Linked DNA regions of Danio rerio. The protein of the gene in region 6 interacts with the protein of the main gene of each other region in a biochemical or structural test. Links are inferred from orthologs where the notes say so. Each region holds a gene or a part of one and is shown on either strand. Other genes may lie near its edges. The genes, in order: myb, grip1, stat3, kat2b, etv1, ep300b and pcna.

Region 1 (3,944 bases), on a different chromosome or scaffold from region 6:
CTTTAAATGTTACTTGAAGCTGTATAGAAGTGTCTTGAAAAATATCTAGTAAAATATTATTTACTGGCATCATGGCAAAGATAAAATAAATCAGTTATTAGAGATGAGTTATTAAAACTATTACGTTTAGAAATGTGTTGGAAAAATCTCCTTGAAACAGAAATTGGGAAAAAATAAACAGGGGGGCTAATAATTCAAATATAGATTACAGATTTTTTTTGTATTATATATAACATTTAGATGTAAAAATAAGGGAGTTATGAATTAAATTCAAATAGGCCTATTATAACATAAAATACAGTATTTCTGACAAATTTTCTTTATAATCTGAGTTTACAGTATTGCAATACAACTTGGTATCATGATACTATAGCTGGTATAGTATCATAAGATTTATTAATAATATTGCGAAAATTAATAATATTACAAAAATAATATTGTGTGTAAGTATATATAATTTACTTATATTTGCAATTGGTCAAAATGCTGTTAGCAAATATAGATCATTGTTACTATATCTTTATAATATAGATGCTATTATATATCTGTAATTAAATATAGATCAAAGTGTTAAACTACTACAACAGCACAAAAATAACACTTAAACAAAGGCAAAGAGCAGTTTTATGTACCTCCTCACGGGTCCAGCGTGTCTTGCCGAGGTGGCGTTTTCCTGTCTTGGCATGAGGACCATCATAGTCATGATCATAAATCTCCACATCATCATCATCTTCGTCGCTACTGTAAACACTGAGGGGGAGAGAAATGATCAACTGTGAGATAAAGAGAGTAAGGTATCAAAGAGAGGGTGAGTCGGGTGGGGGGGGGGAAGGGGGGGTAATAATAAAACAGCAAACCAAGGGTAAATATAGAATAAATAATAGAGAGAGCACTAATAAGAAGAGTGGGGAGGAATCTTCATGAACCAGATGTGTGTTGGTGACATACACAAATAGCACCCTTTCACCTCCATACATCTATCACGCGTTATAGAAAAATTAAGCGATAACACAGTCAACACAAAACTGGAGTGGATGAACCAGTACAGCCGGCAGGTTAGGGTGCAGGGGGGACACGCTCACAGAAACCTGTTCTGGTGTTTTTGGTTTCCACAGAAACAGCAAGCGTGTGCGTGGACTGGCACTGTTTCATGATAGAAGCGTGTTTAGACCTGCACAGGTACTGTCAAAACCATCTCACCTGGCCGGCTCTGGGCCAATCAGGGTTGAGCACAAGCAGACGTGGAGAACAATGTTCCCCTTGCCTTTGTGCCACAGGTGTATGTGTATGTACTTTTAAATCTCATGTTTATCCTTAATGCGAGTACTCAAAACAAAAGATAAGGATGATAGCTCGCTGCATTGATTACAAGTGTTTACACTGAAATGTAAAACTCAGAACGCACCTAGTCCAAGCAAATATGTAGTCAAATATATGGTTTCATCTTTAGTGTGCGCTGAGTAACTGTACTGTGACTTTAAATACCTGTCAAAATAGTCTCACTGTGGCTGAAAACTAATTCAGAGGAATTTTTGAGTAGTTTATTATTAGCTTAAGTGACAAATACAACGAAATACTCTCACTTTTAACCCGTTGTGTGAACTTAATATACATTAAAGTGAATTTAGCTAACTGTAAACGCTCCAAAATTTGAAGTAAACTTAAAAAGACAAAATTAACCTGCTGAACTTATAGTTTTGTTTCATCTTTTATCGTAATATTTCATCAAAAGGAAACAGGCAGAATGACAGCCGCAGTCTCCATTCACTTGAATAGAAACAAGATGCAGTGAAAGTGAATGGCTCGCGAGACTGTCAGACCCTCACTCGCATTCTGCCTCATTTTCATTTATTTAATTTTGTTCGACGCTAAAGTTACAACAGTTTAAGATCAGCATGAGGGTGTGTGAACGATGACAGCATTTCATGTAGGGTCGAACTATCCCTTTAAGACTATAATACCACGCTAGTTATTACAACCGACAAATGTAAAGCGGATTTAGAAAACTCAGTGATTATAATCCATCCGGCTCACGTGTAATCTCAAAATTAATCCAAACGATATAATTCAGAGCCATTTCCGAAAAAGAGTAAAACTCAGTTAGTAGAAATAGTACGCGAACACACCGAGATGTTTTTGGCAATCGCCCGCTATTTTTCAACTACGCTACACAGCCGCTGACATTGCGGCTCTCCTCTGTTGTTTCTGAATCTAAATGAGTGTTCTTCTTTTTGGGGAAGTACCGAATCAAACCTTAACCTGTCCAGCGGACTCGCACGCGCAGGTGGATGAATGAAAATGTAAATGAACGCGAGCGCGAGACCACCGCGCGCGGGCGCGAGCGGAGAGCGCACATGCCATCCACCTGTTCAGCGCGCGCGGCCACAACAAATGCCAGTCCTCGCAGACTAAGATGCGTGCGATTATAAAAATGCAACAAAGCTCTCATTTTGAGCATGCCTTTTCTGAAATACAATGTTCTTAGGACAAGCCGTTTATACGTGTGTACATATATATACCTCCATGTGGCTGTGGAGCGCATTCTCACAGTATAAGGAAATACATGCGCGAAAGTTTTCATCATAATGCATAAGTTTTAAAACTCACCTGTGTCTGTGCCGCCTCGCCATCCCGCTGTTCGAGAGGAAGGTAGAGATGTGATGGTGAGTGCGCTCGGCTCAAGTGTGCTAAGGTGGAGTGCTGTCAGCTCCTCTTCGAGGAGGAAGTGCTGATATTAAGCTCTCTAGTGGAGTGTGCGATATTGTAAACAGATCCATCAGACAAAGCTGGGCTGTCTTTCTCCCTCCCGCTAAATTTGGCGCCTCGGGTCTTGCGCATGCGCACCATCCGCTCGACTATTCACTGAGAAGAGCGCCTTTTGAGCAAGAGGTCCGCGCTAATCGTCCACTGTTGTGCTTTTGGAACAATTATATTGTGTTTTTGGAGGTAAAGAGGCAGGGAGGGGTGGCAGCGCGTTTCTTGGAGGACAATGTGGACTCTGAGTGGGAGTGAAAGTTTGGCAAACAAGGAGAAACAGAGCGTGAGGGGGTCCGGGCATCCTCTCTCGAGTTTATCGCTGTTTCTGCGGTACTGAAGCTGCTGTACTCTAATGAGGGATGGTGAGAAAAACTGGCTTGTGGTTCCAGTCGCGACTCCCTTTAACAAATTCAGTTAGATTTTAAAAGAATATTTAAAACGGTTTAAATTATGTTTGTTAAAATTAATAACAATTATTATTCGTTTTAAATAATCAACTAAATTTGTAATAAATTAATCTAAATGTTACATTTTCGTGGCTTTTTAATAAAAGAAATGCAAATCAGTAATTACAAACTTCAAACATATTAAAAAAACGTGGTAGATGTAGCCTAGACATATTTTTCAAAATACCACTATTTATAACAAAACTGATTACACAACTTTAACACATCATATTTATAAATAAGCTACTACTAATGCGCTGAAATAACCAGCTAATACAGAAATGTTTGGGCTTTGTCTACTTCCAAGCAAGAGAACCAAACTTCAAGTGTTGTACACATCAATGGGACATACGGAAAGTATTATGGGATGTTTTAGTTTCTTTTTAAGTAGGACATAAGGTAATAATTGATTCGCCGTGTCACTAACAAGAATCAGCTCATAAGAGTCATTTGCTCGAGTTGGTCAACACAGTGACGCGGCTGAAGGCTGTGTGTATTTGATTCCATAAAAGAACCGGATCATAAGAGTCATTTGTCAGAGGTTCGAACTGCTATCCGTGTATCGAAATGTGAATCCAGCAGTGTTGCGCCTAAATATCTGTGCAGAATTTTCTTTCTTCTGCGAAGCTATTCAAACGCAAAACAACCGCTGAGCCGTACAGATAAACTTTTCAAAAACATTATTTCGATTGGGGCAGTTTTTAAAGTTCCCCATTCCTAAATGCACGTTTTCCTTTATGG
Region 2 (3,500 bases), on a different chromosome or scaffold from region 6:
ACCCATTGCAAGCACCACAGAGAGCAAACAAGCATGCAAGAGTTAAAAATAATATGACATGCACAGAAAAATAAAATAAAAAATGCAACTACATAATAATTTCTTGGCAGTCAACAGCACTGTAAATGCTACAAGACTATTTTAAGTTTTAAGCATTTATCTTATTTTAAAAAAATGGAGATATTAAAATAAGTCTTAATATTAAAAAGAAAATAAACGTTTGATCCCATCAATGTTATAACAAAATTTTATATTATAACAATTTTATGACCTAATTGTCAGCAAGCATCAGTGTTTATTGAAATTGAAATAAAATTTTAAAACATTGAAATTAAGATAAGAAATTTTGTTATAGCAACACTTGTGACTGCTTTGGGAAATAACGCTTATTGTGGATGTCACGAGATGACTGATTGTGAAGGAACCTTTAGTCTGGCACATTTTTTGCCCAAGAGAAGTTAAGATTTGATTAAGACAAAATCGCATAATTTGACTTTCATAACTGACAATAAAAACCGTATGATCTGGCCGGGGCTTTACATAATTAGAACTCTGGGAACACTAAGTAATACTTTGTGATTTCTAAAACTGAAGATGCTTTAGTTTCTGTAAGTAAAGAATAAACAACTTCATTGGAACAAGATTCCTAGGTTTCATCTGTTTACTGAATCACAGTACTGACATTAGCTAAGCAAAATGCTAACACCAACTCCACCGAAATCAATTGTTAGACTTTCGACTTTTTGTATAATATGGAAATTTCTCCTGCCTAGATCAGAGTGTTTCTAATCAGTCTCTTTTCAGCCACTTTTGTTCAGGATGCTGTTTATGTTTTGGAAGAAAGCTTTAATGTCAGTGCTGATGAATCTAGCTGAGTTCAGGAACAACTCACCTGTCAGCTGGACCGCCGGGTCTGATGGTTGTTATGGTAACTGGGCGAGATTTGTTTCTGTCTTCATGGGCGCCTCCTACATCATAGGAAGAAAACAACTCGTATTGACATGTTTATCAAATGAAGTCATACAGCAAGACATACAGTACACCCGATGCTTTAACATACAGTACATTTGGCCAATCAGCTCCATACAGCGTCTTATTGAAAGACAATAAAGGCCGTTTTCTCACCTCAATGAAATTTCCATATATTTTTCAACAAAAGCACAAGATTATACATTTTTAAAGCCGCTGCTCGCTATAAAATTGCATGCCATTGAATTCACAAATGGAGTCTCAAAGATGAAAAGGAAGTCCTTAGTATGCCTCTTTGAGAATGATTTGAGAAAAGGAGCAAAGCTAACCAAGACCTTGGCTTTTTTTTTTCTGCCGCTCTTCAAAAGACTTCATACTCTAGATGGATATGAAAAAAAGATGTCTTTCTTTTAATGAAGTCTAAAATGCTGTTTGGTAAATATTTAGAAATCGAGTGCTAGCGGTGCTACTGAAAGCTGTTGCGTCTCTTTCAACAGGCCCAAGGGCAGCAAAATAAATCTTCAGCGAAGAATGGTCTCTCTTTGTTTGATGTAGATGTGAATGAAGCGCATTGAGCTCTGATGTGTGGAAGTCTGCTCACCTCTGATGACGAAACCGAATGTATTGCCTTCTTTGTGCAGCGTCACCTCCACGTTTTTGAACATGACCCCTGAGCCCTGTACAGCTGAGGAAAGAAATGAACAGTTCAAAGTTCTGTCAAGATTTCAATGCTTGACCAGAGCATATGAATGAACATCAAACTACAGATTACATCATATAGAGAGTGAAGAAACTCAGTGTAAGTGTGCTGTTATAAAACAGGTGTCATTGCAATGAATCAGAGGCAGGCTGGTGCATAATATTTATCATCTATGATGATAACAATCCACGGACAGATTTTCACTCATACATTGCCTGAACCACTTAATACATTTACATTGTTAAAAAGAAAACCAAAGGAGTGAGCTGTGCTTTACATTTTCTCCAAAATATATGATGAAGGTCATCAAGAAGTTGTAGGTGTTGCTCTAATTACATTTTTGAGAGTATTATGTTGAACACTGGCCAAATAAAAAGAGATGTTTATTTTTTTGTTTTATTGTTGCTTTACAGTAAAGTTGGTTATACACCAGCCTTGCTGTGCCTTGTTTTTGCATTGCTTTCTATATATTGCTAAGCAATGTGAATCAATGCAAAATGTTGGCAGCGATGTGCGTACCCTCATATAAATCAATGTTTAGAATTCTAAAAGATGTGATGTGGCACTTTGCATGTAGGGTGCAATGGGCTATTTGGATGATTTTGGATGATGACACTTACCTAATAGCTAAATGAATCAGCTGTTTTGAACAAATCATTTTAATGAATGAGTCCTTCATTAAGGCTGGGACTTGCCTCCTGGCAGTTTCACTGTCATATTTATTTATTGATGACAGGGCTAAACTAGCCAAGATACCAGCACAAAACTTACTGAACAATTATATATTAATATAAACAAATACAGTAAACAGTTAATTGTTTATTACTCTAAAAATGCAGATTACTATGGCTGAAAAATCAGCATCAAGTATCCAAACTGTGCAGTTATTCACACAGAATGTGTTTCTCTATTTCAATGTGTTACTTCTCCATTGTTTGTCTATGTAAATACAGACTTGATGAAAAACACCATGTCAAATTAAAAGAATTTCAACTTGCTCAATGTTAGTTACAAAGCAGTGGACCAATCAGAGGAACTCAGAGGTGGGGCAAGTCAAAGTCCCTCAAATGCAAGCCATTTCACTTGGCAGCCATCTTTGAAACGCCTCTTGGGCAGTATCCTCGGGCATTCTGTTTGAATGGGGAAACATCACATTCTCCAAAATTGCGTATGATTAAATTTCATATTAGGAAGCACCAATAAAACTAAACAAAATCTGTCTCGTTAGTTTTATTTCTAAACTTTTAAAATCTGCAGAAACTCACGTCTGATCCAAGCCCCTCCCACAGGGAATCGTCAGTCTACATCGATCGCTGATTGGCTCCTGTACTTGAAGGCGGGGTTTCATTCGCCATATGACCATTACACTTTTCCCTATTCAAAACTATAGGAGTAACATGTCTTGTGTATTCTATAGTCTTTGCGCATATATATTTACATTAGATGTCGCTTAAGCCTATGTTGTCTATTGAAAGGAATGCATCAATAGAGCCGCCATTTTAGTACAGGGTAGCGTTCCTTTGTAATGAATGTAGGACCAAGGTGCAGTGGAGGACTGACCTTACTAAAATTATAATTTTACATCACTTTTCTATATTGATGGATAAGTAACCACATGTTTATTGGTGACAAAAAGCATGTGCTTGTGTGCATGGAAATGTATTATCCTCCCACCCTGTAAAATTTGATTTAATCAGTGTTCTGAAACACCCCCTCTGATCCTGCTTTCACTTTTAACAGAGGGAGTGATTGGTTTGTGTTATGAATGACTCATATGAACCACCGATATCCCTGCGTCTCAATGTGCATATCCACCTTTCTTATCAAAACA
Region 3 (4,069 bases), about 8.0 Mb from region 6:
AGCCGCTTGATTATAACAGAAAGTTAATTCGACATGGGTGTCCTTTGGGAATTTCAGAGGGGTTTTTATTACGATATCTGCGGTTAAAAATACAGTCGTATACCTGGAAGATCAATTTTTAAACTAAAAGTAACAATATAATTAAATTATTTTTTATTTTCTTCGGGAAAATCAGAGGGGAGTTTTATTTCAATATGTGTGGTCAAAAATACCATGGTAGCTGCACATATCAGTTTTGAAATAATAAAAATTATAATATAATAAAAAAAGCAAATAAAAAATAAACATATACACACAAACCTTTTAATCATAAATGCAAAAAGATGTGCAGCTATTGACTAAACCAGACGTCTTCATTTACAAAGCTATAGTCCAGCCAAGAAACTGTTTATTTGTTTGCTCAAAGTTTACAAAGTTATTTGTAAAGTCAAAGTTTCTAACATAGTTGACTTTTTAAACTTGATATTCTTAGAAATAAATAAGACATTATTTTACACTATACTTACTCTAACTTGATATGAAATGATGATTAAAACATGTTTTATTTTGTGTTCACACACTTAAACGTGCACAAAGTTACAAAATATATATATATATATATATATATATATATATATATATATATATATATATATATATATATATATATATATATATATTTCGTTATTATTCTATTTATTATGCTTTAAACAACAGATACATGATGATATACATGGTGATAGAAAGTAAATGATAACAACAATACATAACATAAATAAACAAAACAAACATAAAAAACAAAAGTATAAGTAATTAACTAACATTCTTACAAATACAAATAAGCAAGACATTTACATTAATCAAAAATATTGAAACTAGAGCACAGTTGGACAGTTTTAATGGCTTTTCAATTATCACTATGCTGAATAGGTGCACAAAGTTATATAAAGAGACGCATTGATGACGCCAAACGTCACGACAGCACACACTTCACATCCACTGAATTAAAAGTCCAGATGACGTAGGCGCTGCCAGTAATTCAGATGACTTCCAGCCGTGCTGTTCCAGAAGCTGGATTTCCCCCCGCTGTGCTGCGTATCACAACACGGTTTTACACGGGAGGAACCGGCAGCCGGAACAGCCTGCACAGCCAGAGCAACAAACACAGGCGGCCTCGAGCTGGCGCGCGCTTAGTCCCGCCTCTTCTGCGCCATTCGAGCTCAGCGATTGGACAGAATTCTAAACTCGCTCGCGACTGCGTCAGAGACATGTCAATCAAAGCGGAACCGCAAACGTGCAGCCCATTTTCGCACAGACCACCGTAGCTCGCGTGTTTGCAGTGTCAGAAAAGTTGGAAAAGCTCGTTTTACGATAGCATATCGTCTCTAAAACGCTTGTTTTTGTAGTCAATAACGTGTTGACTGCGCTTGTTTCCGTGGAGGACGATTTATCTGAAACCTTGAGCGACACATTAAGGGGTAAGTTGTCCAGCCACGTCGCTTTTTTAAAGGAAAACGCAGTTTGACGCAATTTTTGGGGATGTTTCTGTTGTGTACATTGCTTTCTGTTGTCAGGTGGTTCTGCTTGTGTTGATGTTTGAATTATGTTATAACGTTAAACCGCTAGATTGATTTCTCGTGACGGAAATAATGTACACATTGTTTCCACTTGGCTGTTAAATGAAGCTAAAAGATACTGTGACCTGACTAGACAACAGTTGATACTTGTTACATGTGTAACAAACAAACTCGTTTTAGTATGATGTCGATTCAGTAGACGTGACAGAAGTATTAAGAATCATTAAGTTTGCTTGAATGAATGTTTGTAGAGTTTATTTCTTCTTCACTTGATCTGTTGTAGTTGTTTTTTTCCTCAATGCAGATTTTGTTTGTTTGTGTCATTTTACGCTTATAGATGCCATTTCTTGTCATTGGAATCCATTCATCCTCTCAGAGTCGGTCAACAACGCTTTATCTGCATGATTGGCAGGGTATAATAGTGGAAAAGTGTATCAGATAGATGCTGGTGGAGCAAAAAAAAAAAAGACAATGAAATTGAGCAATTAAAAAGAGAGAGAAAAAAACATTGAAATGGAGCAAATAAAAAGAAAGAGACAAGTGTTAAAAAGGCATAATTCTCATAAGTCAATTTTACTGGCATTTATATTTACAATATTGCACCTCGTGATGAAGTACTTGCATACACTTGCAAAATAAGTACGTGTTCATAATAATAATAAATATCAACCAAAATTAATAGACAACAAGCTGTTTAGCAGTACTAGAACCACCTATAGTACAAAAAGTCTCTTGATTTCACTTCTCATTATTGTTTAATAATCTGGCTTGGATTTGCGCCACCGATTCAGCATAAAAAGCGCATTGTATGCCAATCTGGCAGCTTTCGTACTTGCATTGGTTGGATAGGTATCTTTTTTGTTGTTTTTTTTTTTTTGCCTCCACGGGTATTCCCCACCTCTGCCCCATGACGTCACTCTTCCAGTACATGGCGAGGGAATCCTCGAGTAAGAGGTGATGGAGACCGACCTGCGCGCGCGCTTTTGCTCGGCCACTGCAGTCTCGCTTCTGGCTTTCATGTCGCCTCGCCGAGTTTTGCTTTACTCGACAAATGAAACCAGTTTCACAGTTCCCACCGACGAGAGATGTGCACACGTTAGACACTGGTGCACTCTGATTGGCAGTTTTTCTCCGTATCTCAAGAGAGTGTCCTTAAAGGGACAGTTCACCTTAAAATTCTTCATTTACTAGTTTAAAGCCTGTTTAAGATTTCTTCAACTGTTGAACAAAAAAGAAAGATATTTTGAAGAATGCTTTTTGCTGGCACCCATTCTCTTCCATAGTAAAAAATACTGTGGATTTTAGGGGGTCGTAGCAACCAGCATTCTTCAAAATATCTTCTTTTGTTTCCAACAGATGAAAGAAACTCATCATGTTTTAAAACCACACGAGGGAGAGTAAATGATTACAGAGTGTTTGGGTATCCCTTTAATGTTTTTTTTTTTCAGAGGCAAAAATAATTTGGGGGTGTCAAGGTGGCGCAGTGTTTAGCATGATCGCCTAACAGCAAGAAGGTTGCTAGTTTGAGCCCCGGCTGGGTCAGTTGGCATTTCTGTTTGAAGTTTGCATCTTCTCCCCGTGTTTGTGTGGGTTTCCTCTGGGTGCTCCAGTTTCCCCCACAGTTCAAAGACATGCGCTATAGGTGAATTACATAAGCTAAATTGGCTGTAGTGAATAAGTGTGTATGAGTGCTTCCCAGTTTTGAGTTATGTCTGCAAGGGCATGTGCTGCGTAAAACATATGCTGGATAAGTTGTGGGTTCATTAAGCTGTGGTGACCCCTGATTAATAAAGGGACTAAGCTGAAAAGAAAATGAATGAATGAATAAAAAAAAATTTGCTATCAAACATTGATAAATAAAATTGCTATCATGCATTTTAATGATTTACAAAAGACACTTACTAAATTTGTCATTTACTATTACCTTAGATATTATTGGGGCTGCACAATATATCATTTCATCATTGATATCGCAAAGAGCTGACTGTAGTTTAAATAAATTGAGACCAAGAAATTATAATATTTGTAGCTTTATGATAGATTAATCGTATTAAATAGTTTATGGTGAATTTAATGGTCTTATTTTACATTTGATTATTTGATAATTTGTGTCTGAATATGGAACACAACTCAGAAAAAAAAGCATAAAGCTCTGTTTGTTTCAGTTTTATCTTTGCAGCGTTGTATTTAATTATGCTTGTGATTTGTTTATTGTATTTCATGAAGATATTTTAGAAGGAGTGTTTCTACTAAAAATCATCCCAATCAAACTAAAGTTATGAAGTATTTCCAATTTTAAGTCAGCTGACAAATTGTAATAAAATCTTAAAATCTGAAAAATCTGAAAATTGCTGAAAAACAAAATATCGCAATGTCAGGTTTTTTTTCCCAATTTTGTGCAGCCCTTTCATATACCTAAAAACCGTGTTTTAGAACAAAACTCATTAACAGGGTTTCTGCAGGGTCATAAAAACTATCTTACATCTCAAAATCCAAGTTTAAGGCCTTAAAAC
Region 4 (3,500 bases), on a different chromosome or scaffold from region 6:
GACCATGTCTACATGCCTAAATGCACTGAGTTGCTGCCATGTGATTGGCTGATTAGAAATTTGCGTTAACGAGCAGTTAGACAGGTGTACCTAATAAAGTGGCCGTTGAGTGTATATTAATGTAATTTTACATTCCGTATATGTTCTGTGTATATTATTACAACTGTATATATTCGGTTTGCAACTGTTTGTCCAGCTTATTTGTTTAAACTGTTACAGCTGCTAAGGAAATGCATCCTGCAGATGGGAAGGCCAGTGGTGGAGGCTCTGGAAAGCCCGCCTTTTGAAAAACCAAGCATCGAGCAGGTAACTTCTCAACTGTAAATAGCAAGAATATTTTTTCATCATTACGAATGAATCATTGTCTTAATCTTTACATTTAATAAGCTGCATGTGTTTGGTGACATACTTAACTAACAAGTCAACCTCTTCATCATGATCATGTGCGAACATCAGTGATATTGGTGTCAGGAATGAGCATTTATGATATAACTTTTTATAACTTTTCTTCTAAAACAGACTTTGGTGAAAACCACAAGCTCCAGCTTTCTTGCTTAATTTGTAGGCATTGTACTATAATTCTGATGTACAAATATGCTAAACACCCAAAGACACATTCCTAAAATCCTTGCTGTTGGAGACACATTTATGTTTTTTTCCTGTGTTGTTTTTGTTGTAGGGTGTGAACAACTTTGTGCAGTACAAGTTTAGCCACCTTCCGTCTAAGGAAAGACAAACCATTGTGGAGCTCGCAAAGATGTTCCTCAACCAGATCAACTACTGGCAGCTAGAAACGCCCTCACAAAAAAGACAAAGAGCACCAGATGATGATGTAGCTGGTTATAAAGTCAATTACACCAGGTGATTGCTAGTTTTTTTTACTTTACACTAAGGATTAGTTCACCCAAATATGAAAATTCAGTTATTAAGGGCTCATAATCATGTCATTCCAATCCCCTGAGACTTTTATGCAACATTTAGAACACAAATTAGGATATTTTAGATGAAATTTGAGAGCTCTCTCATCCTCCCTTAGCCATGTTTCCATCTAAAGATGGAAATTAAATTTATGTGCAAAACTGGAATATTGCATAAAAGTTTTGTGAATGAAGCAGCATTTAAACCCAAAGAGTCAAAGAGAACAAAATCGTTAACTGGTGCCGAATATCAAAAATAAAAACAGAATTTGCTGTGGTAGGATGAGCTGCATTAATCTTATTCATTTAATAAATTATTTGAAGACAATGCCGACATGCAATAAGCGCGTGGTGGCGTTTGAAGATGTGAGATGCGGAGCACAGTCACTTTTGACAGTTCTGGACGTAATAAATAATATATTACCACTAATACTGAAATAGTTACAGCATTTTAGAATGACCAAAACAACATTTCAGATATTTTACAATGTGGTCAGCCTGCTGGTTTGTCCATTCACTTACATGTTATTATAATCACACGCTCTCCTCTAAAAAAAATCACATGACTTTTTAATGCGCATCCTGAAATTAGTTTGGTAAAAGTGTTTCTATCGTAGTTTATAGCAGTTGTTTCTTATTGAATAAAAAGTTAATATTCAAAGTTTATGTGCATCTTGGCATTTCTATCAACCATTTTTTATGCGCACATCTAAAATGCACATAATAATATTAGGTGGATGAAAAACATAGCTATTGACAGCACTGCACTAAAAAGTCCAAAAAAGGATCTAAATCATTCCATGTGACTTCAGTAGTTCAACTTTAATCTACAAGGCTCCAACATCGCTTTTGTGTATGAAACCACATTCACTTTTGGCAGTATGTAGACATGGGGCAGAATAAGTTTCTGACGGTGTCAACCTTGGATAAAAATATCACAGTGTTGTGATTACTGCTGTAAAATAAGTTATTTTTAAATGTCTTGGTAAAAAAAAAAAAAAAAATTCCCCCCTAATGAACACAATATATTTTATTTTAGGAAACATTTAAAATTTTTTGGAACAGTAAACATCTCAGACTAAAGAATAATAAAAAAAGGCATTTGCTATCTTCATTAGTTTCAAAACCAGGTTTCTTTACAAACCTTAAAAAACTCTTAAACATACATTTGAAGTGGTTAAACAGAAAGATTTTGCGGGTTTTAAAACTTTGAATTTTTCAAATCGCGGTAAACCTTGAAACCGGTTTTCGTCCCATGACTGACAGTGTGACATATTGCCAATAGAGTCAGCAGTGAAACTTCCTTGCATTGTATTGCCCATATGAAAGAGATAATTCATCCAAAAATGCGTATTTAGTCACTATTTACTCAATGGGTTCCAATACTTTATGAGATTATTTATTCTCTTGAACACAAAAGAAGATACTTTGATCAAAGCTTAAAACCTGTAATCATTGACTTCCATACTAGGAAAAACAAATACTATGGAAGCCAATGATTACATTTCCAACATAGATCTTCTTTTGTGTTCAACAGAAGAAAGAAGCTCAAACAGGTTTGAAACAAGTAAAGTGTGAATAAATATTGACAGAATTTTTTTTTTTATGTGTCAACTATCACTTTAAATTAGTACCCTTATTTGGGTAATTTTTATTGTATTATTTTCGATACAAAAATATTCTTATAGCTTTTGTATGATTTCAGTTGAATCCCTAAAGTCACATGAAATGTTTTGACAATGCCTTGGGTCCTTTTTAGAACATTTCAGCATTGTTGTTTTCTGTAGATGAAGAAGCTCTTGGATATTATCTAAAATAATCTTCGTTTGTGTTTCGAGGATGAATGCAGGTTCATAAAAAAAGTTTTTCTTACTTAGAATTTTTTACTTGTTTCAAGTCCAAATATTTAAAAAATTGTGAATAAAAAAATTCTAATTTATTTTTTTTAACTTAGTTTTACTTTTAAACAAGCTAAATTATCCAACAAACAAAATAATCTTCAGTTTATTTTTAATTAAATTATATATCTTTTTAAAGTGATCCGCTTATAACGTTATAAAGATTTTGACCAACAATTATCACAATTTAGAAGTATTGGTCTATTTTCTACAACACACAAACAACATTTCTAGTAAGTGTTTTGTGTTGGAGAGATTTACTCCCTTTGGCTTTAACAAAATCATCTTTAATAAATCATCTTTTCGAAAGGTATCCAATTGTTCAACAGATGGTGCACTAACGAAACTGTTTAAATCAAACTCAGCCATACTAATATTATGCTCTAAAACTCCACTCAATCACTAATCTTCATTCACTCAAAACTCAAAATTGATCCGCTGTCAAACACACATCGTCTCACTTCATCCCATAAAGAGATAAATTTAAATAATCTCACCGCTGCCACCAATTAAATGTTACGTGTTTTATGATGTTAAAGTGGGATGCTGTAATATTTAAGTGACACAGGTGTAATGTGTGCGACAGATCAAGAATGAGGCAAGGTTCAGTTACTCTTATTTAAGCTTTTTACTTAATAATTGAAACATGTAACAATAATAAATGGGGAAAAAAAACATTTATAAT
Region 5 (4,038 bases), on a different chromosome or scaffold from region 6:
TATAATAATAGTAAAAAACTTTGAAAATATTTGAAAAATCTGAAAAATATATATATTTTTTAAATAACAGAATTATAATTAAACTCTCAGAAAAAGAAATGACTTTAAGTTTAAATAGCAACCATCGGTAGCATAACATATTAGTTTGAATAATAGTCTGAAACAAAGCGAAGACAAGAAAAGCCATCTTTAACGTCACAATCAACAGTTTCACATAAAAACTATCAGAATTAAGTTTACTATCAAAAAACAATAACTTTTAGGTTATATTTGCAACATTTTGCAAGTTTGGAGTAAAAACTGCTATTAATGGCATAAATCTTTTTTCTCATATAGAACCAAACTTACATCACATTAAAAATATGTCTAAACACATCTACAATCAACCACAAAGTGAACCATTTACTAACCTAAAGGTCGGTGCTGCAAGCAAGGTGGGAAGAAGACACTCGCGTTTAACTCCTGAAGCATCACGTTTGAGTTACACCACAACCAGCACGTCTTGCCATGAGACAGAAAAAAATGGCCAAAAACAAACCGAAAAAAAAAAAAAGTTAGCACGGATGAAAAAAAATTAATAAAAGTTGAAGCTCTAATAAACGATCAAGCGTCAATCCATTTCTCAACAAAAATAAAGACAGATTAAAAACTTAAAACACAAAGAGAGAGTAAGAAAAAGGAAAGCTGTGAGGGAAAGAAAGAGAGTGTTCGCGTGAGAGAAAGAGAGAGAGGGAGAGAGAGAAAGGTGGCAGTGTTGGTGGCTCGTCTGCCTTTGCTGCTGCCAAAAGCGGACGAAGAGAGGAGAAGAGAGTGAGCGCGAGCGACTGCACAAGTTCTTCTGGTAATTTGTGATGACACTCAAAGTAGAACCTCCTCGGTCTCCCCCTAGACTCCTGCTCTTCTCCAGCACTAATGTATGCATGACACACCAAGTGCCTTCGCTACAGATGCATTAATTGGACTGCAGATTAGGTCTGTAACTTGAGGCATATTTGCTCCCCCTCCCCCAGAATCTTCTCTCTCTCTCTCCGCTTGGAAACAAAAGCTCGATCAACCGATGAGAAGCTCAAGTAAACAGAGCAGAGCTTACCTTCGGCGAGCCAGGTCTCCTGAAGTTGACTAAGATCTTGAAACAGCTCTGAAAACAAAAAAACAAAAGAGAGACGATGGTGAAACAACAGGTACAAAGGTTTAATTATGAGTTTTGACACTCAAAGAGCGAGGCGAGCGCTGCTGATTGAGATTTTTTAAAGCCCCTGAGTGCAGGTGGCGAAGGGCGATATTGCATTTTAGCGAGATGTTAAGAAGGCGTGAAATGAACATTGTCTGTTTCACCCCACACCTGAGTGCTTACCCTCAGTGTCCAGCGCCAGGTCAGAGTTAATGAATTTTCTTTTTCTGTCCTTTGCTGGTCTCGTGCCGGACGTCTTTCCCCGAGGATTCTGGACAGAAAGCAACAGATCAATCGGCTCAAATGAAGACAGAGGGAGTTGAGATGGTTATTGAAAGACTTCTGCACCATAGCCTACATTAGATGTAGTGTTCAGGCTCTTTTGATTTCTTTGAAATACTCAGAAATCAAACTTTTTTTTATTTCTTGGGGTAAAATCGATGTTTGGTGGCCTTGATCAGCCCTCAGGTGGACTTGATAATCTACTAAGAATTACTATTTTTCCAATTTAGCTGAAAAGTTTGATAAGTCTTGGACTGACAAAAATGACAAGCCACCAATTATTTTTTTAATTTAAAAAATGCTCAAAAGCAGGCCTAAATGATAATGTTGCCTAATTTAAAAAGTTGTAAAACCAAGTTTCTATACATTCTATACACAAATGCACATCATCTCATGCCACATTTAATATTTAGCCTATGTAAATCTTTCTAGAGGACAGAAGTTAAAGACTTAAACTGAAGAATCATATTAAAAGCTAGACTTTATACAACTAGAACTGATAAATTAATAAATTACAGTACTTTAAAACAAGTTATAAAGATTTTATAATCTGTACGTTTAGATTACCTGTGACTGTTTATTAGTCAGAATCAATTAAGGTGACAGAAGTTCCTTTTATTTGAATAATAGCACAAAAAGTGACGTTTATAAGCCTAAGCACGATAAATTATGTCATTTAAGTAATTTAATACACCACAACAAGATAAAATGCTATTATAATATGTACATTTGAACTATCAGTGATCGTATATGTCGTCAAAAATGAGTGAAGCTCCCTATGCTGCAGAATCGCGCGCGTCAATGGCACGTTCCTGTCACGTTTCATAAAAACGCCAACTGTCCTCAATCAATTACACAAGTACATAACAAATCATATATCAACTTAATTGCGCGTTTAGCTTCACCAGACTTACATGAGACTTTATAAAAGGCACTTGTTGGTCGTGAAGTCCGTCCATTCTGCCGCGTCTGGACCGTGAGCGCGCGCCGTCCGATCAGAACAGGAGATTCAGCGATTTAATGAAGCGATTTAATGATGCGAGCTCCGGTCACAAACACATCTTTCTCTCCACACCCTATCAAACAGACAATAAAAAGCAGCAGATGTGTGACACTTTGTAAATACATTTGCAATGAAAGATACTGCGCTGCTGTGCGTGCGTAATGCGGTCCTCCGCAGGGACGGGACTTTTGGAAACACTTTTGTTTTGTGTCGAGACAAGATTCACGAAGCTGATGGAGAACTTTAAGCTTGCACTCACCTCACTTAACGCACCGGATTCATTGACGGACGTTTCACCGGACGCTCGTGTCTGTTCTCCGCGCTCAGCTTCGCCGTCTGCTGCTCCAGGGGCCTCCCTTCCCAAACAGCCGGAGCCCCGCTTCCCATTGGCTGCCACTGTCCTCAGACTTCCAGCCGTCAATCAACTGCCAAATTCATTAAAATGTGCACAACTGATATTGCAATTATAAGGTGTTTATTTATGAGAACACACATCTCGTCATTATAATCCCTCTTGTGGTTTGATGTTTTGTAAATTGCGTGCGTGAAAGTTCCCAATATCATATTGTGCATCCAGTTTAGGATTCTTGTAAATGATCGAACAAGCTACAAAAGTGCATCACAGAAACATGTTAAAAAGCAAATCGATCTGTTGTTAATAAATCCTTTTTTTAGGGTGGTTTAACGTGTTTCTGAAGTAGGAGTCCGTGGCCCCCTAGAGGCCCCCAGTGAACTTTTAATGGGGCTCTGATTGGAGTTAGAAATGTTTCCTAACATTTTTGAGTCTAAAAATTGGTAGTCATACTCAAATTTTAACTGTGAGCCAATATAAGATATTTACAGTATGTCTGCAAAAAAGCAGCATATTTTCAGACTTTTGTTATTAATGTAAAAAAGATTGATAATTCATAAAATTCCAATTAAATAACTATTATTTAATTACAAAACAAGTTATTAAATAATAAATTATATAGATTTATGTTTAAGTTTAAAACATGTATGGTTTATAATATAATATAAGCAATAAATAGTTAAAATGTCACATTAAATGTCATTAAATATTTTTGTTGATAAATTTCTTGGATTATTGATTATTTTATTATATTTTGATATAATAGATTTTAGTGTACATGCTTAAAGAGTTAAAACAACATGTTCTATTATTTATTATGTTATCATTACTATACTATATATGAAATATAATTCATTCTTCACATTTGGAGAGTTAAAATGTAAAAATAAAATTTACTGAAAGGTGAAAAATAAACATCTTTTTATTTCTATTATTTTTTGTAACATTAACATACTAATTAATTACTTATAACTATAATATTATAATATTATACACTCTCAGAAATAAAGGTACAGGAGCTGTTGCTGGGGCAGTACCTTTTTTAAAAGATACATACTTGTACCCACATAGTCCACAGTGGTACCTTAATGGTGCATATTAGTACCCAAATGTACCTAAAATGTTAAGCTTGCTGAGGCCACAGATTTAAATAAATAAAAGATATTAATGCTGGCATGCCCATCAAGATCCTAATATTTATCTTAGAGAACATAAAGAGAGAGAACAATT
Region 6 (3,500 bases):
ATGCGCAATAAATAAAATTTGTTATCTTCGTTTTATTAAAAAAAAGTATTAAGTCCACAGTTTGTGTTTCCTTTGTACAGTACAAAATATTCAAATTAAGCTCCCAAAGTTCAGCGCAAAGGAAATTCTGGAGGTGGAGGAAAATAAGGAGTGGTACTGAAGGACAAAAATGGTAATATCAGTGGCACACACGCCTCTCATGTTCTGTTGTTTCACTGCGCCATACAGTTCATAAGTGAAACGCTGCTCAATATGGCATTGGCATGAGCAGAACTCCAGCACCACTTCTAATACACACGCACACACATATACACAAAACATTCTCTCACCCAACCTGTACAGACAGCTCCACTATCCAGTAAGTCTTAGAAGGAGTGCACACACATTCTGAGGGCAGGCGGGCGGGCCGGTGTGTGCGTCCAACAACTCGTCCTGTTGCAAAAGCAGTGATGTCCAAAGGAATTTCCAATATGGCATGAAATAAGATCCAATGGGCAGCGGAGCGCACACCAAACCCGATCCCCCAACACTGTAATTTATATTATAGTCAACCTAAATCTCCAGCTTAAGGAAAGGAGTAGCTCCCCATTTTAATAGGTATTAACAAAAATATATTCTATGTGAACTGTAGCAGTCTCTGGGAACGCACATGAACGAAATCCATCATGACGACAAATGAAAAAGCTAGAATAAATAAAATGCAAAACTCAAAATTTACAAGGAAGATATGCATGATGTTCAGATAATTATAATAACTATATAGGCATCACAATAGCTGAAATGTTCCATGTGACTCTGTAAAACATGTAACAGAGACTGGTACATGGTGAAACGATATATATAAAAGAAGTCCTTAGTCATTTGCGCTTTATTTTTATACCACTTTTAAAATCTTAAAAAATATCTCTTGAAAAAGGAAAAGTACTCCCCTGGACCTGACATTGAAAATATTACTTGTGGTTTGTTCTCTGAGGCTGAGAAACAATCCTCTCTTTGTACATATCTGGCAAAAGGAAAAAAAAAACACCCCCATATACTTATTTGTGTTGAATATAAGAGATCTCTCTCATAGAAGGGCCCGTTCTCAAAGCATTAATGTTGAAAAACACTAAATTCACCCTTGTAAAAAATGCTAACACTCTCTGGCGAGGTTTTGTAAATTTCCTAATAACTATATGATCTAAAGGGTTAGATTCATGTTAATGCCAAGGTCCTGGCCACTAGGAGGCAGCATATCATTCGCTCCTGGTCCGTGGAGTCCCGCCATGCCACTGAGTTGAGAAAGCATGGCATTCTGATCTGCGCCAAATCCGCTTGGGTCCTTAGAGTTGTGCTGTGGCTGTTGGTGGGGTGGAGGAGGTGGAGCCATGCCTGAGTGATGCTGCTGAAGATGGCTGGGATGCGGAGAACCTGTTTGGGTTTGAGGCGAGATGTGGTGAGGTGAGGGCTGAGGTTGCAGGCGTGGGGACGGACTTGAGTGAGGTGGCTGGGACTGGGGTCGTGGAGATGGCTGTGGTGAACAGACCTGGTTGCTGAGGGAGGATGGGAGCTGCTGGCCCTGCAAGTGGGGCGACTGAGATATCTGTTGCTGCTGTGGACTCATTGGGTTGTTTTGCTGTGCCGGAGAGGTGCCACTAAGATGCTGCTGCTGCGGAAATAGACGCTGATGCAAAGCCTGTTGCAATAATGCCTGTGGTGACTGAAGACCTGGACCTAGTTGTGTGGGCTGTGGACCTCCTCCAGGTCCCATGTCAGGACCTTGTGTTGCAGCATTCTGCTGCTGTTGCATCTGTAGCTGATGTTGCTGCTGCGCAAGCCTCTGTTGCAAAGCAGCTGCAGCTTGTTGCTGTGCAGGATTTCCAGGAAAATTCTGCTGTTGGCCAGGTTGTACTCCTTGCAGTGGCTGACCTCCTGGCGGGACTTGCATGTTACCCTGCTGACTCATGTAACCTTGCTGCTGCTGGAATGCCGCATGATTGCTCATTTGTTGTTGTTGTTGTTGCTGTTGTTGCTGCTGTTGCTGCTGAAACTGTAATTGCTGTTGCCTTCTCATGACTAGTTCTCGGAAGTGTGGATTGGCCATGTTTGGGGTCCCCTGTCCTTGAATCCCTTGCTGCTGCTGCTGTTGTTGTTGGTGCTGCTGCTGCTGTTGTTGTTGTTGGTGCTGCTGCTGCTGTTGTTGTTGCTGCTGCTGTTGTTGTTGTTGTTGCTGCTGCTGCAAGGCAGCAACTTGCTGTTGTTGCAGGAGCGGTCGTTGTTGCATTTGCTGCTGCTGTTGGCTCTGTTGTTGACTCAGAAGTTGACTCTGCATGTTAACACCTTGTCCAAGATGCATACCAGGTTGGGGAACCCCAGTATTGACACCCACAGGTTGGCCTCCCATAGGTCCTGGCCCTCCCTGCGGTCCAGAGGGGCCACCTGTACCTCCTTTATACTTGTGAACCCGTTGCTTGATAAATGCTGCCATTAGAAGTGGGCTAGACCGGAGAATGTTGAGAACTTGCTGTTGCTGTTGAGGAGAGCTTGGAGATCGCAGAGTCCGCAAAAGCTGCTGCAAGGCTCCCTGGGGCAAATTGCTAGCTGCAGCCCCACTTGCTACGCCACTCTGTAGACCAGCCTGTACCATACTCATCAAGGCATTTCGATTTGGCATTTGGGGTGCTTGCTGCTGTTGCGTTTGTTGTGATGGTTGTTGCGGCTGCGGTTGGGGCTGCATTGAAACCATTCCCTGCTGAGACATCATAGCAGGTCTCTGCTGGGTAGGCATGCCCTGCCCTGGCCACTGTTGCTGTTGAGGCTGAAGTGGTGGATTCATTCTCGGCTGCTGTGGATGCATTTGTGGGGGCATCTGACCTTGCACAGCGACCTGTTGAGGCTGCTGTTGCTGCATGGGCCCGGCTCCCATCATTCCCTGAGGTCCTTGTTGCTGCTCCATCTGCACCCTGTTCGCTGATGTTTGTGCCTGCGAGGCTAAGCCTTGTGGCCCTACCATACCAATTCCAGGATGGGCCACTCCAATCTGTCCCTGTGGCTGCTGATGGTGCTGTGGCATCATTCCTGCTTGGGCAGCTTGTCTTTGTAGCAACTGAACCTGTGCCATTTTCCGCTGTGCATCTGCCACTTGCTGAATCTTCATGGCAATCTCCACAGCGGCTGCCGGAGGACCTGTAGGTTGTTGTTGCTGGGCCATAGGTACAGTGCCTGGGTTGCTGGGGAGTTGCGGAGGAGTTGCAGGACCAAGGCCTGGTTTACCCTGGGACTGGGTATTTGGGGAGGGACCTGTGGGGTGGGGGCCATATTGATTGTGTGGATGTGGCACTTGTCCCAATGATTGCTGAGGAACCATTTGTTGTTGCTGTGAATTCATCATGCCTCCTGCTCCAGGCATCTGCTGAAACTGGTGGTGGACAGGATGCTGAGGAGACTGCTGGGGAGCTCCAGCTGGGACTCCTCCTGCACCAGGCTGGGGCAAAGATATAAGATTGGGTGTCAGCTGTGTG
Region 7 (3,993 bases), on a different chromosome or scaffold from region 6:
TCTGATAAAATCCCAGATAATTATTAAATCACTTATAACCTACTCTTTTAGGGTAGCTTTTTAGATTTATTATTATTGTAAGCGTTTGATTATATTCATTGCATTTTTTTTGCATTCATCCTGTATGCATCTTTAACAGCTGCACATTATGTCTGTAAAGTGCCCCGAGATGCTACTTTTAAAGGTGCTAAATGAAAATAAAGCTGCTTATTATATAAATCTGATCAATCAGATGGGGCCTTTACTACCTTTAGCCCCGCCTCCTAAGTAGTTGCTGTTCTGCTATTGGCTGGATTGGCTTAAAGGTGAAATCAGAGCTAAAAAATGATTCTCACTAATAGTGCTTTAAAGACTAAAGGTTTGCATCTTGACAGTTTTAAGTCTGAATTAGATCTGGAAAATATATTTTACTTGTTTATTGCAAAATCATGAAATAATTTTTTTAAAACAGCTAATTAAATTGACTTTTTCAGAGAAATGTTTGATTATAGAATATATATTGCATATTTTTCCCAGTATCGTGCAGCCTTAAATGAATAGTATGTTACCGCTTCATCCTCCTTGTCGACGTTGCTGGTCTGTGAGAGCTTGATGTTGCCTGTGCCCAGCTCTCCGCTGGCAGAGAACTTCACGCCATCCTTGGCACACGAGATCATGACAGCATCACCAATCTGTGACAGATCCCTGCAGATGCGGGCAAACTCACCCGACGGCATCTTCACCACACAACTGTATTCCTGCTCCTGAGGGGAAGAGAATAAAGCATGATCATTGCAGACAAACATCCACGATCATATCAGAAATAAACAGGAATCAAGAGAGGGAAACTCAATAAACTTTAAGACCTCATCGCCATTTTAGGTTTTAACTTAACATTGGTGACAATTCAACTTGTAGTATATTTACTAAATACTGATTGTAAGAAACGAATCCTAAACTAAATCGGTCATGTACTGAATAAAAATGCTAATCCCAACAGATGGCACCTATAGAACAGCAGGAAACATAGGCTTGCCTTTATTACTGCAGTAGACAAAGCAGTGTGATGCCAAATCTAGCAGGATTTTATCAATTTCATAAACCACACAGATTAAATTTAGGCAAACTTTAGCACACAACTACACATTATATAATCATAAAATGACCAAAACAATTATATCTTGTAAAACAACAGTTAAGGCTGTTTAATACCAAATTGATTTATCAACTTTTAATGACCCTGCAGACACCCTGTTATAATAAAGTCTTACTGGAATGCCAAGCTGCTCCACATCCAGATCCATCAGTTTCATCTCATAGTCGGACACTTTCTCTTGATCTGAAATGAGATGTAAATATTAGTATGGATTATTAGCTCTCCAGCAAAACTTAACTTTTGGTTTCATAGTAATAGTTGATAACATGGTGAAGAAAATCCATACTAGAAGCATTTTTTTTATGTGATGTTATTAACCACAAAATGGCTCCAGTATCTATGCGAATTTCATTCTTACATTTTTGGAGAAAATTATTATTAGAAAATTATTTTTAAATATTAAGTATTAATTATTTAGCTTAACTTTAATGATTCATTTTAAACCAAAGCCCATGTTTTTAACAGGTATTGCTGATAAATCGATATTAAAATACTGCAAATATAAATTTAGCAACATAAAATAAATTCATAATAAAAAAAAGTTTTTTTTAATTGTACACTATCAAAAGTATTGCTATTCCTAGTTTAAAAAGAAGTTAACTTACTGAGCGTTTCAAAGACCAGTGCCAAGGCGTCAGCATTGTCTTCAGCTCTGAGTGTGATGATGTCTTCATTTCCAGCACACTTCAGAATCTTCGACATGCTAGGAAACAGATGAATAATAATCAAAACACGTTCACTTCAGGTAGAAAAACACCATATTGATCGTAAAATGGTTTACCATTTACATTCGAAACAGTCATGGCATACACAAAAAGTGTCTAAGCAGGTTTTCTTTGTCTAACACCAGAGCCATGTTGTCATTCAGCAACCCGGCATTTTCTTTCCCGCCAACAAGCTTAAGCGCGCGCAAGTGACGTCACGATCAGTAGAGCGTGGGACGAATGCAGGAAACTGCGCGCCAAATTAAACTGATAGCCTATTTAAAACACAACCGTAAAACGGCATACTTTAATAACAACTACTGTAAATAAAATACTTTTGTCACTTTATAGTCTAAAAATGGCGCGCTGCTGTGTAGAGGCGCAGCCCCGGGCATGCGCAGACATGTTCAAACTTCACTCACCAAGTAAATACGAGTCAAATAACACAAAAGGCGCTTGATTTAGTCAGTGATTTTACCTGCTCAGATTGACCCCCATGGCTAGGTTTCTGTCGCAGCGGTAGGAGTCGAACCCGTCACTCCGGAGCGTCAGCTGCACCAGAGACACATGAGAGGAGTCCATACTCTGCAGAGAAATGCCCGACGAGCTCACATCCCAGCAAGCCTCGGTGATCAGGTCTTTCAGAGCCTCCAGGACCTTCTTAAGGATAGATCCCTGAACCAGACGTGCCTCAAACATTGTGCTGCTTTCTTAGTTTAGAGTAGGAGGAACTAAAGTTATCTAATCCTGTTACGACACAAGCTGCGGCCTGGTTAACTGCTTGTTTTCCAGCACAGGAAAGCAGAATCCTAAACTATCCTAGAGTTTAGCAGGTACTAATGCAGAGGAGGCACGGTGCAGATGTGCTGTCCACTGTTCTGGCGAGGCTCTGAATGTAACTGCGCGCGCTTTCGCCGGGATTTTGTTAAACTGACCCACTGTTGCCTTCGTCATTTCCGCTGACGTTTGACTCCTCCTGGAACGCAGACAGAACTGCGGACACTGACCAAAAGAGGGCGCAATTTGGTCAGAAGGTATGAGTTATTCACAACATTTATGAATACCCATTACAGTGCGTTTTAATAACCTTTACCCCCACCCAAACCCTAAACTGACCCGTCACTGTGGTGTAAAATATTATATATTGTCGTACAGTGTGAAAAATGATGCTATGTCAACGTGCGCATGCCCAAGTATCCACAACTGTATCCCTTTTTTTGTTTCTTTGACAAATTACTGTGCTGTTGCTAGAAGGGATACAGCTACGGTCGGCAGTTAACGAGAATTATTTATAAAATTTATAAATACCCATTACAGTGCGTTTTAATAACGTATACCCCCTAACCAAACCCTAAATTGACCAGTCACAGTAACGTAAATTATTAATTATTGTTGTGCAGTTTACCAAAGATCAGACTATGTTGATGTGCGCATGCCCAAGTATACGCACCTGTATCCCTTTTTTGTTTCTGTGACAAATTACTGTGCTGTTGCTAGAAGGGATACAGCTACGGTCAGCAGTTAACGAGAATTATTTATAAAAATTATAAATACCCATTACAGTGCGTTTTAATAACGTATACCCCTAACCAAACCCTAAATCGACAAGTCACAGTAACGTAAAATATTAATTATTGTTGTGCAGTGTACCAACGATTGATGTTGATGTGCGCATGCCCAAGTATCCGCAACTTTTTGTGTAACACATGTTTTGTTGCTAAAGGATATAGCTGCGGTCTTCAGTTAACAATAACTACTTATAATATTTATGAATACCCATTATAATGCTTTTTAATAACGTCTACCTTACCCAAATCCTAAATCGACCCATCACAGTAACGTAAAATACTGTTGTGTCACAAAAATCATGCTATGTTGATGTGCGCATGATCAAGTATCCCACAACTGTATCCCTTCTTTTGTTTGTGTAACACATTTATGTATGTATATATATATATATATATATATATATATATATATATATATATATACATACATACATACATACATATATGTGTTACACAAACAAAAGAAGGGATACAGTTGGGGATACTTGAGCATATATATATATATATATATATATATATATATATATATATATATATATATATATATATATGTATGTATGTGTGTGTGTGTGTGTGTGTGTATGTA

What was found.
Region 1: the proteins of ep300b (region 6) and myb form a complex in vitro, tested with the Homo sapiens proteins (3 studies listed by BioGRID, with this or other methods). The link is inferred for Danio rerio from reciprocal best matches to the Homo sapiens genes EP300 and MYB.
Region 2: the proteins of ep300b (region 6) and grip1 form a complex in vitro, tested with the Homo sapiens proteins (2 studies listed by BioGRID). The link is inferred for Danio rerio from reciprocal best matches to the Homo sapiens genes EP300 and GRIP1.
Region 3: of the proteins of ep300b (region 6) and stat3, one has a biochemical effect on the other in vitro, tested with the Homo sapiens proteins (2 studies listed by BioGRID). The link is inferred for Danio rerio from reciprocal best matches to the Homo sapiens genes EP300 and STAT3.
Region 4: of the proteins of ep300b (region 6) and kat2b, one has a biochemical effect on the other in vitro, tested with the Homo sapiens proteins (4 studies listed by BioGRID, with this or other methods). The link is inferred for Danio rerio from reciprocal best matches to the Homo sapiens genes EP300 and KAT2B.
Region 5: of the proteins of ep300b (region 6) and etv1, one has a biochemical effect on the other in vitro, tested with the Homo sapiens proteins (2 studies listed by BioGRID). The link is inferred for Danio rerio from reciprocal best matches to the Homo sapiens genes EP300 and ETV1.
Region 7: the proteins of ep300b (region 6) and pcna form a complex in vitro, tested with the Homo sapiens proteins (4 studies listed by BioGRID, with this or other methods). The link is inferred for Danio rerio from reciprocal best matches to the Homo sapiens genes EP300 and PCNA.

What each region holds. Positions count from the first base shown.
Region 1 is NC_133198.1:34,756,884-34,760,827, reverse strand, and holds the start of myb (transcriptional activator Myb), read right to left. Parts: upstream 2,801-3,944; 5' UTR 2,631-2,800; coding exon 2,608-2,630; intron 751-2,607; coding exon 633-750; intron 1-632. UniProt on the Homo sapiens protein: Transcriptional activator; DNA-binding protein that specifically recognize the sequence 5'-YAAC[GT]G-3'. Plays an important role in the control of proliferation and differentiation of hematopoietic progenitor cells.
Region 2 is NC_133179.1:13,709,656-13,713,155, forward strand, and holds part of grip1 (glutamate receptor-interacting protein 1), read right to left. Parts: intron 1,655-3,500; coding exon 1,571-1,654; intron 969-1,570; coding exon 893-968; intron 1-892. UniProt on the Homo sapiens protein: May play a role as a localized scaffold for the assembly of a multiprotein signaling complex and as mediator of the trafficking of its binding partners at specific subcellular location in neurons.
Region 3 is NC_133178.1:15,703,973-15,708,041, forward strand, and holds the start of stat3 (signal transducer and activator of transcription 3), read left to right. Parts: upstream 1-1,269; 5' UTR 1,270-1,457; intron 1,458-4,069. UniProt on the Homo sapiens protein: Signal transducer and transcription activator that mediates cellular responses to interleukins, KITLG/SCF, LEP and other growth factors. Once activated, recruits coactivators, such as NCOA1 or MED1, to the promoter region of the target gene.
Region 4 is NC_133194.1:23,131,025-23,134,524, forward strand, and holds part of kat2b (histone acetyltransferase KAT2B), read left to right. Parts: intron 1-219; coding exon 220-306; intron 307-679; coding exon 680-861; intron 862-3,500. UniProt on the Homo sapiens protein: Functions as a histone acetyltransferase (HAT) to promote transcriptional activation. Has significant histone acetyltransferase activity with core histones (H3 and H4), and also with nucleosome core particles.
Region 5 is NC_133190.1:36,829,714-36,833,751, forward strand, and holds the start of etv1 (ETS translocation variant 1), read right to left. Parts: upstream 2,801-4,038; 5' UTR 2,716-2,800; intron 2,530-2,715; 5' UTR 2,413-2,529; coding exon 2,368-2,412; intron 1,443-2,367; coding exon 1,355-1,442; intron 1,139-1,354; coding exon 1,091-1,138; intron 861-1,090; exon of another isoform or gene 472-860; coding exon of another isoform or gene 411-471; intron 1-410. UniProt on the Homo sapiens protein: Transcriptional activator that binds to DNA sequences containing the consensus pentanucleotide 5'-CGGA[AT]-3'. Required for olfactory dopaminergic neuron differentiation; may directly activate expression of tyrosine hydroxylase (TH).
Region 6 is NC_133178.1:23,740,361-23,743,860, forward strand, and holds the end of ep300b (histone acetyltransferase p300), read right to left. Parts: coding exon 1,181-3,500; 3' UTR 13-1,180; downstream 1-12. UniProt on the Homo sapiens protein: Functions as a histone acetyltransferase and regulates transcription via chromatin remodeling. Acetylates all four core histones in nucleosomes. Histone acetylation gives an epigenetic tag for transcriptional activation.
Region 7 is NC_133185.1:46,058,752-46,062,744, forward strand, and holds the start of pcna (proliferating cell nuclear antigen), read right to left. Parts: upstream 2,801-3,993; 5' UTR 2,539-2,800; coding exon 2,318-2,538; exon of another isoform or gene 2,265-2,317; coding exon of another isoform or gene 2,233-2,264; exon of another isoform or gene 2,043-2,232; intron 1,839-2,042; coding exon 1,741-1,838; intron 1,319-1,740; coding exon 1,251-1,318; intron 744-1,250; coding exon 549-743; intron 1-548. Other genes in the region: E3 ubiquitin-protein ligase TRIM69, read left to right, coding at 2,233-2,264. UniProt on the Homo sapiens protein: Auxiliary protein of DNA polymerase delta and epsilon, is involved in the control of eukaryotic DNA replication by increasing the polymerase's processibility during elongation of the leading strand.